2 linked regions of the Lepisosteus oculatus genome follow. The protein of the gene in region 1 purifies or fractionates together with the protein of each later gene. This does not show direct contact. Links are inferred from orthologs where the notes say so. Each region holds a gene or a part of one and is shown in the gene's direction. Other genes may lie near its edges.

Region 1 (7,251 bases):
CACTAAGAATCACTTAATTTATCCTACAGATAGATGTAGTGCTCAGTGCAAGCGAAGATAAAAATGATAGCGCTACACACCGAAGACAAAGCTCGTTTTTGTCCCCCCATCCGTAAGCCTCGTACTGAAGCATCACGGGATATGCAAATCGTACGCAACTGTATTACAGGCACACGCGGCCGCGCAACTAGACAACTCGAGACCAGCAGAAGAGAAGACGGACGATTATTGGGGGGAAGTCAATGACAAATTAGCCCGTCCAAATCGCATTGTGCACAGATGACCTCCCTCCTCCAGCATTTGTGCATAAAACCATTGCACTCGATAATGAACCAATCCATCAACCGGCTGCATTTTTCCAAAATGAGACAATTTATTGTGAAAATAAAAAGTAACAAATCATAATAAATAATGAAGATGTTATTAACGTTATTACTTTTGCTTTGATCTCCACACCTTTCAGTCCTACTTTTTCTGTACATATAATCGCAAAGCGAGCTGCCAGTTTTACAGCTGCAATACCGAGACCTGACCGCTGGGGGGAGAGAACGGTTTGAAAAAAAATAATTTCAGCGCCGATGAGGACAAAATACTGTTAAAAATGAAATTAGTTTATTTTTTTCCGTGCTACTGCGTGATTTACCCCGCAACTGAAAAATCCATGCAAAACAAGGAAATACTTTTCATACTCGTTCCAGCATTTTTTTTTATATTACGCTCAATGCACACGTGTTAGCCATTCAGAAATGAATGCAATATTATACAGAAAGTCACGCTTTAAACGATAGCAACATGTGCTGTAAATAACGGATCACGCCAATTACATTTCTGAACATTCCTTGAAAATGGAAGACATTTTAATGAAAAGTTAAATTCGGTACCCAAAGTGAGAGAGTATGTGAACGTACCATCTTTTTATTTTGTGAACGCAATCGTTTCAGCACAGCATTGCAGCCCGAGCTGCCTTTGATCAAGTAAGTGCAAGACACCAATTAGCTTAAAAGCACGTGTTCTGCACAGACCTTTGCAATCGACGTAACAATTGTAATTTTTTTTCCATGTATAAAGAATTTACAAATACAAGTACAACTCAAGGAGCAATTGTAATTGACCAATCAGGAGCGCGGAGAGTGACCAAGGGCAGCAGCAGGTACCTGAACTGTCGTGATCACGGTATCGTTATCCTGTAACACATCTCAGGCAATTAATCGTCTTTACTGGGAGGTTATCTGTTCTGCATTAAACAAAAAAAAAACACGATTAAACGCAACACGAGCTAAGACATCTCCACGACCGCCGCCTTCCACGCGGAGAGACTTCAAAGCGGCTCGGCGGGCGGCCCACGCGTGGCGTGGCGTGGAAAAAATTCACATGTGACGCACTGCGAGGCGTTCCGGGTTCTAGCAGCGGTGAAACACGAGGAGAGAGCAGGACGCGCACACCCCGTCAATGAGGAATGAAATGCTAAGGGTCATTAATAACCCTTTTCCCTCCCTCTCCTGTACTCCCTAGGCGGTGCTCCGCAGCGTGGGTGTCTTACGACACGTAAGAGACAGAATATCAAAATAGATACAGCAAATAGGCACTTCACAGCAAGAGGAATTCACGACGCTAAGGGCTGAAGCAGTTGCAAAGTCTGGGAGCAGGTCCTGAAGATGATGAGGAAGACTACAGCTCGTCCGTCTGGGAGAAGAGGCCCGTGCGGGAGAGCTTCGTGAAGTGGGAAAGCTGTCGCGCCGGGACAGTCCCACTCCCTCGCCCTGTGGCGGTACGAGTAGTCGGTGGCGGTGGATGGCCACGACGCCTCTCTGTGCCTTGTCTTGCCCTTCGCTGTCCACAGAGCATTGCAGCAGTATAGTGTCCCATCACACTGTACTGGGGCATCAGGACCCACGCAAACCGCAGGGTGAGAGCGCCCCCCGCTGGCCCCACTCACACCTCTTCCAGCAGCAGCTGGGGGTCTCCCGTCCGGGTACCGGCCAGGCTCACACCTGCTGGGCTCCAGGGGCCTGCCAGCAGGGAGCTGTAGTAAGATAGCAGCAGAAAATTAGCGATTTCATTGTGGATGATAATTAGACTTTACTCGGTATTTGTTCCGGTGGCATATTTCAAATAGATTCAAATCTAAAAATATCTTTGCACAGTTTTGATCACGGGTAGATATTTATTTCGACTCTAGAGTAGTTTTGGGAGGGTGGGGGGGATCTATCAGCTGTTCATTTCCATTAAATTTGAAGATTTTCTCTGGTTTCGAGAGGAAACCCAGTCCACCCCGAAGGGAGTTAGCGAGCTGTTCCCTCGTGCTTTTTTTTTTTTTTCCTCCGTGGGTCTCCATGGGCAGACATTCCCTCTGCTGTCTCCTTCCTTGTATCTCATACGCGCACGGCTCCGCCGACCCGGCAAGTCCGGTCTGGCCGGTGTCCCCCGTCCGGCCCGCCAAGCCCCATTCAAAGGAGAAGGCGGGGGAGGGCCGACCGCCAGCCGGCCAATCACGGCGCGAGTGGCCCGCGGCCGGAGACCAATGCCAGGAGAGGGAGGGATCCGGTGAGACCCTGTCAGCCAATCGGAGAGCAGCTGAGCTCGATTTCAGGCAGGCGTGGGAGAGGGCGACTTTGTAGCGTGTTGTCAGACAGCTCCGGCAAATCACAGGGCGCGGAGTCTTGGCGAGACTGTAGAAACAACTACCCCTTTCTCACATAGAGTAATATAACCCCTACCCTTCAATATGGCAAAAGATAATAACTGTTGTGAGCCCGGACTTGCCTTGAGAGGCACTCCATCCAAACATCGACACTTGTCGTTTTCCGATGGCATGACAATGACATGTTTGAACCTACCATCTCTCTGTGCGCCGGTATGGATCTTAAAGTACCCTAAAATTAACTCATTAAATTAAATTAATTTAAAAAATGAAAGAAGAACACGCGATTCACAGAACGTCTCTGCCCCTGCTCTGTAAAGTCACTCAGGCGGGGCTTGAAGTCTCGTACTTGTTCAGTCGAAATACCTCAGGTCCCTCGGCGATGAAGAGCTCTTTCTGCACATGGCGGTGTCTAACGATGGTTAAAGAACGTGACTTCGAGGAGTTCAAATCTGAAATCCGGGAATGGGAGTCAAAAATGATGAAAACAGACCTCGGTAACGTCGTGACGTAGCGAGGCAGCCTGTCGGCACAGGACAAAAAGAAGAAAATATTTGCTTTGTTTTCACTTTTAAAAAAAAGTCAAATTTAGAGGTCAAGAGCTCAGTATTGGTAGGAAAGTGGTAATTTGTTCGGATACAAACGCCTCCCACTAAGGTAGAAAAATGATTATGTGAGAACAAACCTTTAGACCACTCCAATTGAGACAGTTGCAGGACATCCACCGCTATGTGTATTTGTGCAAGCTGACTGAATATTTATTTCCAAACTTATGTCGTATATCTACTTCATTTAATGTATTTTTGAGATAGAGTAGTGTTGATGACAACTGAGCTGTTTGATCTACTATTTCAAATCGTCTCTAATTCACGGGTAAAAGTCCAGAAGAGGTGTGAGTTGTCTCTACATGCTGTGTACAGGAAGGGCAGAAAGCAGTTTCTCATAATTATTGAGCCCGATCAGTTTGGATATTTAAATTATATTTAGGCTAATATTCATTAGAGCCTACTGGATGGGGTGATCCTCAGACCGTGAAAAGTGCGTTCAACTGTTTTTCACGAGTTTCCTTTGATTAAACTAGTGTCTTCAAGAGGGATTTTACAGCAGGTAAGATACTAATTAAAGCGAGAAAATAATGCGCCGGGGACAGAATATAAACAAAGACCTTTCATTTTGTGAAGTATAATTCCATTCTTTTTTCCCCTCAACCTGCTTTAAAGTAGTCCTTTGGATATTGATTCCAGTGACAAAGGTTAATGCACAACAATCATTAGAAAACGACTATCTTCTGTCAAAACACTCTACTATTCCGGTACTATAACTGAAGGACATTTAAAAAAAAAAAAGGTCCGTGCTTTCCAGTGAATAAAATAAAGCGACACGTATCTATGTAAGTGACATTATAAGTTATTTCGTCAACAGGCGTCAGCTCTGCATAACTACAGGGCTGAGGCGGATATAGTTATAGCTCCACATCTCAAGAGGTGTAGTCACACAACTTTTTATTAGGAACAAGTAATAGGTTTATTCCATGCTGAAAAAAAGAAGAAAGAGAACACAACGTTTCGGCCGTGGAGCTTTCTTCAGGTTTTTTTTTTTTTTAGTGGTTGGGGTGAAATGAGCTGTACATGAGGTAGCTGTGTGAATCCGTGGGTTTGTATTAAACTGAAGTGGACAGTCGGGGATAGTCGATGGAGAAGTTGATGTCTAGAAACGGAAGAGCAGTGGAAGATATGTTAACCGTATATTTGAGGGACGGGTGGAAGTTGGTGAAACTTTTTATTAGCTGTGAAAGTGACTGAACTAGGAAAGAGCGAAAGAGACAAAAGCGTTTTTATATCCACCCCCATTCCTTGACACGGCTCTTCCACATCCTGGGAGACGTATATAATACGCTTAGACGTTTCCGATTTAATAGTAAAAAATATTTTAATCTGCTCAGAGCAGAACAGCCCCCCCCAATTGGCCATTTCTCTGCAATCCAAAGATGCACCACAAATAAACCAGCTGGAACGCGTCGCTTTGCGTATGCCACGGCGTAGAACACGAAGAGGCTGTCGATTACATTAGCATGACTGTTCGTTTTTGTTTTTTGAGTGAAAACAAAAAATTAAGCATCGCAACCGCCGACCTCAACAGCACTCCACCGAACAAGCCCAGGAACAAAGGCAACTTCTCCACATGTCCCCGCAGGCGGGGCCCCCTGCCGCACAGCCGCCGCTGATTGGCCAGCTCCCCGGCGGCAGCGGGCCATTCGGATGCCCCGATACTGGGGGGGCTGAGTGTCCTCCTCGCTGATTGGCGGCCGCGTTTGGCGCTCGCCGAGGCCCCGGTCTGGCGGAGCGAGGGGCGGACAGCGAGCGAGCAGAGGCGACGGGCGGTGAGCGGAGAGCTGCCGGAGCGGAAATCGCCGTGCGACGAGGGGACTCCGTGCCGAGGCGAAGGCGACCGAGTGCCGGCCGCAGCGGAGCGGCCCTGCCGAGCCAGGGAGGGGGGGGGCGCCCAGCGAGCGGGAAAGGAGGAAGGAGCCGCCGGGCCCCGGCAGCGCCTCTTTGTGTGAGCCGTTTACCCGGCGCCCCTCGGTCGGTCCCGGAGCCACGGGAGGGTCGTCGCCTCGGTACCCCGGTGGCTGTGGACCAGGAGTCGAGTCGGCTCTTCGACAGGTGAGAGGGGTTTTTTTATGTGTGTGTGTGGGGGGGGGGTTTGTTTCCATTTTGTCGTTTTTCCATTCACACGACTAACCCCCCCGCTCTCTCTCTCTCTCTCCCCCCTCCTCCTCCTCCTCCTCCTCTCTCTCTCTTTCTCCCGGCTCGGCTGGCTGGCGGAAAAGGGAGAAGAAGAAACGGCTTTCTTTTTGTTTCGGGCGGGCTGGAGTGCAGACCTGTGTGTGTGGGGGGGTCGGAGCGGTGAAGACTTTTTTGTTGTTGTTTTGTTGTTGTCGTCGAGAGAGTCCGCACGGCCGCTGTCCGGGTGAGCTTGAGCCGGCGGTACCGGGGCGGAAGTTTTGCGCCGTGCGGTTCCCTCCACCGCGCAGTGTGGGATCCGGGTGGGAGAGTCGTGCGTGGCTCCTTCGCCCGGTGTTGTCTCCCACGGGGTGTGTGTGTGTGTCTGCCCCCTCTCCGGCGCCGGCGGTGTCGCCTCGGGTCCTCTCTGAGCGCCGTGCCGTGTCGGTGAAGTCCGCTGTCCCGGTATTGACCTCGGCGAGGCGGCGCGTCGTGAGAGCCCGTTGTCTCTACCTGTGTGTGGTGTCCCGGGCTGGCGAGGGCTCCGCGACAGCACGTCAGTGCACACGGGTTTTTTTTATTATTATTATTTTAATCTGATCCCCTGCTTTGTGTTGCTGTTAGATTTTGTTTTGTTTTCTTTTTTAAAGAATTGGTCCGCCGGGGGTTTTAGGAATAGGTGAGTGGAGGTAGGGTTTGCACTGGACCACTTTTGCTTTGCTTTTCGATGTCCTGGGGGGCGCTGAGCGTCCCGGCGAGTTGGTTTTCGATGGCTGGCAGCGAGCAGCCCCATGTGTGCGGAGCAGCCCCATGTGGGGAAGCGTGCGGAGCTGTTCCCATGTTCCTCCATCAGAAGGAACTGGTCGTGACCTCGGGTCATCGGGGCGAATGTGGAAGGCTTGGCTTGAGACTACCAGGTGCTCTTTTTTTCACTCTTTCATCCTCTTCAGTTTTTTTTTTAAGGAGAATGGTCGTCTGATAGTCTGCCTGCAGTGTAAATCTGATGTGGTGTCATTTAGGTTGTGGTGGCCTGGGTTTAAGTGTAAAAAAAAATGTGAACTGTTTTTTTAAGTTGTGAATAGATATGTTTTTAAGAATGTATCTGTGAATTCATAAACGTACCTCAGTTCAGAAATTATTCGAAGGTAAGGTACTGTCTCATTGTTTCCACACGCCAGCAGTACTGGATGAATTTGTACACAGAAGGTGAGCACTACGAGTGAGCGGCCAGCGTGGCTGTCTTGGTGTCAGGGGTGTCCTGGTCCTGGAGGCGTGTGCTGTCATTCAGACCTCAATTACCACCTGATTGGCCCAACATCCCCGCCACTCCCAGCTCTGCAGAGACCTGGAGAGTGAGACAGCGGCCCTGCCGGACCAGGAACTCATGCTCTTGTCGCCTCAGGAGGGCGAGGGGTCGCGCGGTTCAGAGCTCTGAGGCTCTGCGCGGCGCTGAAGACTGACACCTCCTTACGTGTCTTTCTTGAGCCCCGAATGGTTACCATTTGATGGGTCCCTGACTGAAATCGGCCGCACAGCCGTGCGGGACGGTCCTGGCTGTTCCCCTGGGCTTGACGGGCTCCGGGACCGCGCTGCCCGCCTCTCTGAAGGGTTCTGGTCCTGGTTCTGGTCCCGCAGCGGTGATGTGGTGCGCAGGCCTGCTGTCCCGGCTGCTTGTTGTAGGTGGGTGGGGAGGAGTCGGGGCTGGCGGGGCCTTTCTTGTTTTCTGGTCAGGTTCCAGCCAGCCACCCGTCGGGCTTGCAGCAGCGTCCCCCCTGGGGACAGGGGTCTCCCCTCCCTCTTTCTGAGAAGGAAGCGGTGCAGCCGGAGTGAGCCGAGAAGGGGAATTATGTTTGTGATCAGTCGCACCCCAGCTGTGTTCTCGGGTAT
Region 2 (7,351 bases), on another chromosome or scaffold:
TGTAATTAAGGGTTCTGGTAATCTTTGTGTGATTGCAGAATTTTCCCCTTATTTATGCAGTGAATGTCCATTGTGAGTAAGGCCAGCAGGCTCTGCTCTGTCAGCGGTATGAAACACAGTCTGTTTTCTTTCAGGGTTAGGGAGCTGTGACCGTGGGACAGAAAGAGTCTGCATCCCTCCCCATCACGACCAGGCCTTGCTTCAGTCACTGTTGGGCCAATGTTTGAGTACAGCTGGTATCAGGTTTGTATTACAGCTGGGTGATGGTGGGTGTCATGTTCGAGACAGGCATGCTTTTGGCCTCTGTTCCTTGGCAAAGTTTCAGGAGTGCTGCGTTAGAGAAGCCCTGTACCAGTGGAGGCCTGAATGTGATACATTCGTCATTTTCTCGGGGGGCAAGATCAGAGGCTGTTCGGTCAGCATGTTTTAATCATTATTGTGGGAAGACGGATTGAGTTTCCTAACCTAGCAGGAAACGGTAGGGAGAAGGGCAGCCTACAGCACGTAACCGATGACCAGTCATACCTGAGGAGCTCGCTGCTAAGTGTCAAGTCCAGGGACCTGGAGAGTGGATATAGGCCTGAGCATGGAAAAATGTCATGTACAGCGTTTGTACCAAACCCACGCTCTTTGATGTTAGTTCTCAGTTTTAGGTTATTGATCTTTCTGGCAAATTTGGCAATGCTTTTCCCATACGATGGTGAAAAAAAACACCATCCTTCACAAGCACTGCACCATACGATAAAACAACACGCATTATCCTTTACCACCACTGGTGCAAATTCCATTATGGGCCCATCATTATTTTGTACCGGTTCGTAACGAGACGCAGTTTCAGCAGAAAGCCAAGATCAGAGCTCTGGACTTCTAGGGAGAAGTCAGGTGGATATGAAGGACTGGAGAGCTGACAGGAACTTTCTGCAGGGGCAGGTCGGTGGCAGCAGTCCTGTCAAGTTATGTGAAATTTCAGTTTGCTGTATGGTTTTCATGCATGTTGTTGTATGGTGTGGTGTACCCTTCATGAAAGAGTTACAATGCTGTGTGTGTGTTTTTTTTTTTCCTTCGTCCAAGTGTAACGAATATGCCCCTGCGTATAACAGGGATCTCAGCCACCCGGGCTGAGGGAGCTCTCCTTTAGCTCAGCCGTCAAGTTCCCTGTTGCATGACGCCGGAGACCTGGGTTCGTGCCCAGGCGGTGAGGGACGAACTGGCAGGGCAGGAGTGGCAAGGGCGGAAACACCAAGAACCATTACAGAAGCAATTCAGAAGGCCTCTTGCCAGGTTTCTTATCCTTGATGTCCTGTGCAAATACAGGCTTATCATATTTTTTGGTAGATTATATACTGTATGTTCTTAATATTATATATTCTTCAAATCCAATTTATTTATAGGCTTGGAACATTCAATTTTCCTGGGGCACAATCCTGCGGATTCCTTCACAGTGCCATGTGCTCTATCCCGGTGGGATTGCTGAGACACACGAGGTGGAAGGCCTTAGGGATTCTACCTTTGCTATTAATGTGAACAGTGTGAGTAACTGGGGCTGGGTTAACCACTTAAGTGTGATCTGAGCGCAGTGTGATGTCATGCAAAGGGGAATTGTGCTGTCCTCTGCTTATCCTGCAGAACGGTCTCCTTTCTTTTGTAGAGAATAATTTCTGCAAAGGCACCTAAACAGACAAAGTGGTGAACGATCGTTAGATGTTGTTTTGTCTTACTGTGGCTTTAAAAAAAATCCTTAATGGACGTATTTAACTTGAATGCCAACGTGATGAAAATTGTCCTGCAGTTTGGGCTGTCAGTTATGTCCCTGATTTTAACACCAAGAACGAATTAAGTTCCTCTCTATTTCTCCACCTGGCCAACTGGATGCCTGGTTTGCCTCACTCTCCTTTCTTCTTCTAGAAGAGCGCAAGACCCTTCAAAGTCCGGGAAGCTTATTCTCTGCAGGACAGGGGTTTCTGTCAGCTCGTGCGACCGTTGCTCACGCGAAAGTTGGATCCAAAATTAAAACAAGGGAACACCTTCTTTTTTTTCTTGTCTGGGGAAGCAGTTGGCTTTCGGAGGCCAGAGGAGAGGAGTCACAGAGGCGGCGCGCTGTCAAAACCTCCCCCGGCGTCACGGCCTAGCCCCAGCCGAAGACAACGGACGTTCGGTCCTTTTGTGAGGAAAATATGTCAAAACTTTCAAGGAACACCATGTAAAAACCATCTCTTTTGTCCGGCGTTTTGATTTCCGACACGTCACGGCGTCTGGAAGTTTGCGGGGGGGGGGGCGAGTCAAGTCGGAAGGGTGAGCTAGCTGAGGGGGCTGGTGGGGTGAAAAACGTTGCCGGCCCGCGCGGCTTTTTGTGGTAAAACGAGGCCAACGGGCATCGGAGCCGCCCTCATTCCCCCAGGCCCCCCGAGCGCGAAGAGGCACAACACACCTTCGCTGCTGCCGGCAGTTCGGCCCTCAACAAGTTGGTCCGCAGAGCAGATGTGCACCTCGCGCTGAGCCACAACCTGTCGGGCTTGCAGGCCCGGCCCGCTGAGGGTCCGCAGTGCCGCGTCCCGGCCCGCTGAGGGTCCGCAGTGCCGCGTCCCGGCCCGGTGAGGGTCCGCAGTGCCACGTCCCGGCCCGCTGAGGGTCCGCAGTGCCGCGGCCCGGCCCGCTGAGGGTCCGCAGTGCCCCGGCCCGGCCCGCTGAGGGTCCGCAGTGCCGCGGCCCGGCCCGCTGAGGGTCCGCAGTGCCGCGTCCCGGCCCGGTGAGGGTCCGCAGCGCGCTCGCGGGGGACGGCGGGGAAGTCGGCGCGAACGCGTGGCAAGCGAGGGAGGCGGGGTAGGGACCAGGGACGGAACAGGCCGGGGGGAGGAAAGCGTTGGGCAAAATCGACGTCGAAACACCCTCCCTCCTCCATGGCCTCCTCTGTCGTCGTCATCCGTGGAAGACAGCCGACACATAAAAGGGATGCAGAGGGATTTAAGCGAACAAACCCGGGTGCAGAGAGAAAAAAGGGTGGAAAAGAAAAACAGGTCATTGAGACACGAGTTTAGAGGGGGAAGAGAGAGTTGGGGACGTTGGGATGAGTTTCCCCCAAACCTCCTCCCCCCTGCGTCCTGACTAGGCAGGGTTTGGGGTTATACCTCTTCTTTTACCCCCGCCAAACGCAAATAATAAGCCACTGGTTTTATCCCCCCTCCCCGCCAGAGGGCCGAGGGGAACCCCTTCCTCCGCACGCCGGACGAGGTCAGGCCCCCGCGCGAGGAAGGCGCTGTGGCGCCCGCGCGCCCATCCCCCCGCGCTGGAGAGGCGAAGTTGTGTGCGCGCGTCTGCGCCGGAGAGACAGGCCGCGAGCGCGGGGAGGGGGTGGGGAGAGCGAGAGGGTGTGAGTGTGTGTGTGTGCGCGGATCGGGGATGGCGGCTCGATCTCTTTAAATGCGCCGGGACGCTAAGAGAGCCGGAGGCTTATTTATTTAGTTTTTTTTTTCCCTTCTCCTTTTGCTGCGCAGCCAAGCCACAGTCGGAATATTATGCATTGTTTTCTTAAGAAATAGTATTCTGGACTGTAGCTGCTACTGCGGCGGATCTCTCCCCCCCCCACCCCTGCCTTCTGTATCACTTCCTGCTCTGTGACTGGTTCAGTCCACAGCTCACCCCTCCTCCCTCGCTCTCTCGCTGTAATTCCATGCCGCCTCTGTGAGGAGATCGGGTGTTTCTGTGCACACAGTCGCACTTTTCACATGCTCGCAGTGCGCGGAAGATTTACACAGAACCGTCCACGGCAACTAGTTCACTCCTGCTTTTGAGCGCACAGGAGCAGGACATTTAACATCCACACACCCCCTGTCTTCACACGGGCGCAAGATAAAGTGTAACCATATCCTGGTTCGCGTCCATTCGGTATGCGTTGTTTTAAATAGGCTTCCCATTGTGCCCGCAGTGATAGTTTCTTTTACAGTACCCGTTCTGTTTTTTTAAACAAATATATAACACTTCTCCCCCACCCAGCACCAAACACACACCCTGACACACGTGAACTTGTTTGATTTCTATCTTGACTGTGTTTTTTCCAATGCACACAACCCCTTTCCTGAAGAGGAAAATGGGATTTAAAAAATAATATTCATGTTTTCTTTTGAACTGGCCCAATTAAAGCATGAGGGGCCTCTCAGGATACGGCACCTTTTAAAGCCGACGTCTGCGTTTCCCTTATTTTCTGCACCGCCACCCCCTCTACCATCCACTTTGCGATAAATGTTATTGCTGTTGTGATTTCAAAACACCCCGGTCGAGTTCCAGTCTCAGTCCCGCTCCACCCCGTCTCGGGACTCCAGTCCGGGTTTTGCGTCTCTCTGCGCGCCTCAGTAAAATGGCTGTGTCTCGCGGAGCCTCGTGCTGGTTTGATCAGTTTCTCGCTCTCAGTCTCGTTCTCTAACAGAAGCCCCCCCACATTCCGTGTCGGTTAATTTCATTCCCGGGATTTTTATTTATTTTTTTTCAATAACTTTTAATTCGCATCGGAGCCGGGAGTGGAGCCCGGATTCGGTCCGGTGTTAGGGGGGAATGAGCCGGGACACGGGTAAATTGTTATAAATAATTGTATTTATATTCAATGCTATTGAGTGTTTGATTGTGACTGACTCGCTGTGAAAGAGAGAGAGAGAGAGGAATATCATGGCCGCTCAGGTCGCCAGCGTCGCCACTCTCAACACCAGCCCGCCGTCCGAACTGAAAAAAGCGGATCGGGACCCACAGGAGGAGCCGGTACCGGGGGAGAAGCAGCAGGAAAATAAGGAACCGGGATCGGAGAGTGGATCCCCGGGTCAGAAGGAGCTACAGGACGGGGCCGATGGTGGAAATGCAGGGGGAGGAGGGGATCCGGAGATGAAGAACGGGAACGGGAATCCGTCCAGGGTGAACAATAATAATAACCAGAATGATTCAGGAGCTCCCGAAGGGAATAACCACCCCGGGATGGCACACCACCACCCCGCCGCTTTTCCTCCACCACCCTACGGTTACAGCCCGCACTACGGCCGGGGCCCTTTTCATCAACATGGCGGACAACAAAGCCCTGGCATGGCAGCTGCGGCGGGGCCGGCCGTGCAGCCAGGCAGCATGATGGACTCCTATCAGCCCAACTCGCACGACCACGGCTTCCCCAACCACCAGTTTAACAACTACAGCCCATTCCCCAATCGGACTGCCTACCCCGGCCAAGGGTACACTATGAATTCCCCGCGAAACAACCAGCCTCCGGCGGCTGGGGGGCAGCCAGCCAAGCAGCAGCAGCAGCCGCCGCCGCCAGCGGGAGGAACTACAGCTATGGCTGTCACTTACAATAATCAGAGGTATACTATGGGAAACCCGCAGCCGACTTCCACCCCAACCCTAAACCAGCTCCTGACCTCTCCCAGCTCGACGAGGGGCTACCAGAACTACCCCCCTAGCGACTACAGTAACCAGGAAGGAGCTAACAAGGGACCAGTAGACGTGGGCAGCAGCAGTCAGTATGGTGGCCACCAGGGTTGGCAACAAAGGACCCATCATCCGCCGCCTATGAGCCCGGGAAGTACTGGGCAACCACTAAGCAGAAATCAGGTAAAGTTTCATTCGCCTCGGAGCCCGCGGTGCTTGGCTGTGTTTTACACTCGCAGCCCTCTGTAATGGTGTAGACTAGGACCTAGTGCAATGGACCTGCCATTGTCTCTCTCTCTCTCAGACTCTCTAAAATGGCTGCCTCTCAGCTTTTTCTCCACACCACCTCCTCTAACAGCGTTTATCTAGTAAAAACAAGCGGCTGGTCGAGCCGAATCGTCGTCTTTCCGAGCCCGGCGGTGAAAAGTCGAAGTTTGGGCGGTCGGGCTAAAAGGAGAGGCGACTTTTAAAGAGGTAAAATGACAGCGAAAGGCGTTTTTTTGTTTCGCGTGTTGTTTATCTGCAGGGCAGGACGGCTTAAAAGGTAATTAAAATGTGTAATTCTCAGGGCTTTCTGTCTCTTTCAGGGGTGGTTTTTTTTTCTGTTTCCCCTGTAGCCGCTCGTTAGCAACATTGGTGTGTCCGGGGGTTATAGCAACTAATAGATCCGCACGTTTGTATTAATTACATTTGCATATTTGGATTTAATAGTGGGGAAAATTCCCAGCATGGCAGTAAGATTTCCTGATCCTTGTAAAATGCATGTAACATTCCAGAAAATACTAAAACAGTGCTGGCTTTATAAACGTCTAGTTGGAGCTGGAAGTTTTTTTTAACACTATATTTGCTGAGTTTTTACATTGACCTCCTATTCCTCTCGGAGAATGGCGTTTTAATTCTGTCCCTGCATTCCCAGATCGGGGCTCTTCTTTCCTTAGGCTGCTAGTAAACAATGGCCAGTGATTTGAGTAAGTGCAGATTGCTTTGCTTTGGGATTTGAATTATGGAGGTAAAATCCTTCTGTCAAAGCCAGGAGACAGTTGGTCTTAGGTTGACATGCTAGCTGAGATCTGATTGGCTCTCCATCCTCTGCTCTTGGCCATTTATAATTGCATCTGATGTAATGCTACAACAATCCCTGATTAGCTCATATACTTTTACACTCTGAAGATAACAGAAACATCTTAACAACACACATTGCTTACTTTCAGGCATGCTGCCTCTCTTGATCCCAGAACTATCTTCTGTGATGCTTGTAAAAGGTCAATTTGTCATTGATAATGGTCAGTTTAATATGTTACATTTTCCCCCCAGTGTCTTACTTAGTATATGTCATTAATAAAAAAAAATCTTCCAGCTTTGTTCAGTGTTTATGGTTGTATTTGTGTAAGGGCGCATCTTGTTGATAGTTTGATCAATAATTTTAATAGTCACAGGTCATTTTTGGTTATGATGGAGTGTGAAATGGATCTGTTTGACTGGACGGGGAAATAATTTTAAAACCTTAATGTCCATTTTCTCTAATCCGTATTAGTGATAACATCCACATCTCATTATATAAGCTTTTGAGCAGTTTCAATTATTAGAACTAGAACTTTTTCAGTTTTTTTAATCCAAGTAATTCTGTATTTCTTGGGTGTATTCACCAAGTAAACCATTCATTCATATATTATTATTAGGATAAATTAATAGTTTACTTAGTGGAATTTCCCCCCCACATAGTTTCTACCATCTGGATGCTATACTTTAATGCTTTTAATGCTTTTTTTTAAAGCCTCCTAACTTTATAAAAAGTTATCAGAATTGTTCATTTTAATTTTATTAACAATTACAGTATAGCTCAGAGGTTGTTCTTTTTCAGGGAGTGAAAATTAATTTTGAGATTGTTGTGGCTTTAGATAATTGATAAAGGGTCTTAGATTGATTGCACATTATAAAGATTAAATAAATC

Evidence for each region. Proteins that work in one complex are often made in the same cells at the same time.
Region 2: the proteins of ezh2 (region 1) and AT-rich interactive domain-containing protein 1A purify together in Homo sapiens (affinity purification with mass spectrometry; 3 studies listed by BioGRID, with this or other methods). This does not show direct contact. The link is inferred for Lepisosteus oculatus from reciprocal best matches to the Homo sapiens genes EZH2 and ARID1A.

Annotation. Positions count from the first base shown.
Region 1 is NC_090701.1:2,908,433-2,915,683, reverse strand, and holds the start of ezh2 (histone-lysine N-methyltransferase EZH2), read left to right. Parts: upstream 1-4,239; 5' UTR 4,240-5,304; intron 5,305-5,553; exon of another isoform or gene 5,554-5,611; intron 5,612-7,251. UniProt on the Homo sapiens protein: Polycomb group (PcG) protein. Catalytic subunit of the PRC2/EED-EZH2 complex, which methylates 'Lys-9' (H3K9me) and 'Lys-27' (H3K27me) of histone H3, leading to transcriptional repression of the affected target gene.
Region 2 is NC_090706.1:7,219,249-7,226,599, reverse strand, and holds the start of AT-rich interactive domain-containing protein 1A, read left to right. Parts: upstream 1-4,329; 5' UTR 4,330-4,656; coding exon 4,657-5,583; intron 5,584-7,351. UniProt on the Homo sapiens protein: Involved in transcriptional activation and repression of select genes by chromatin remodeling (alteration of DNA-nucleosome topology).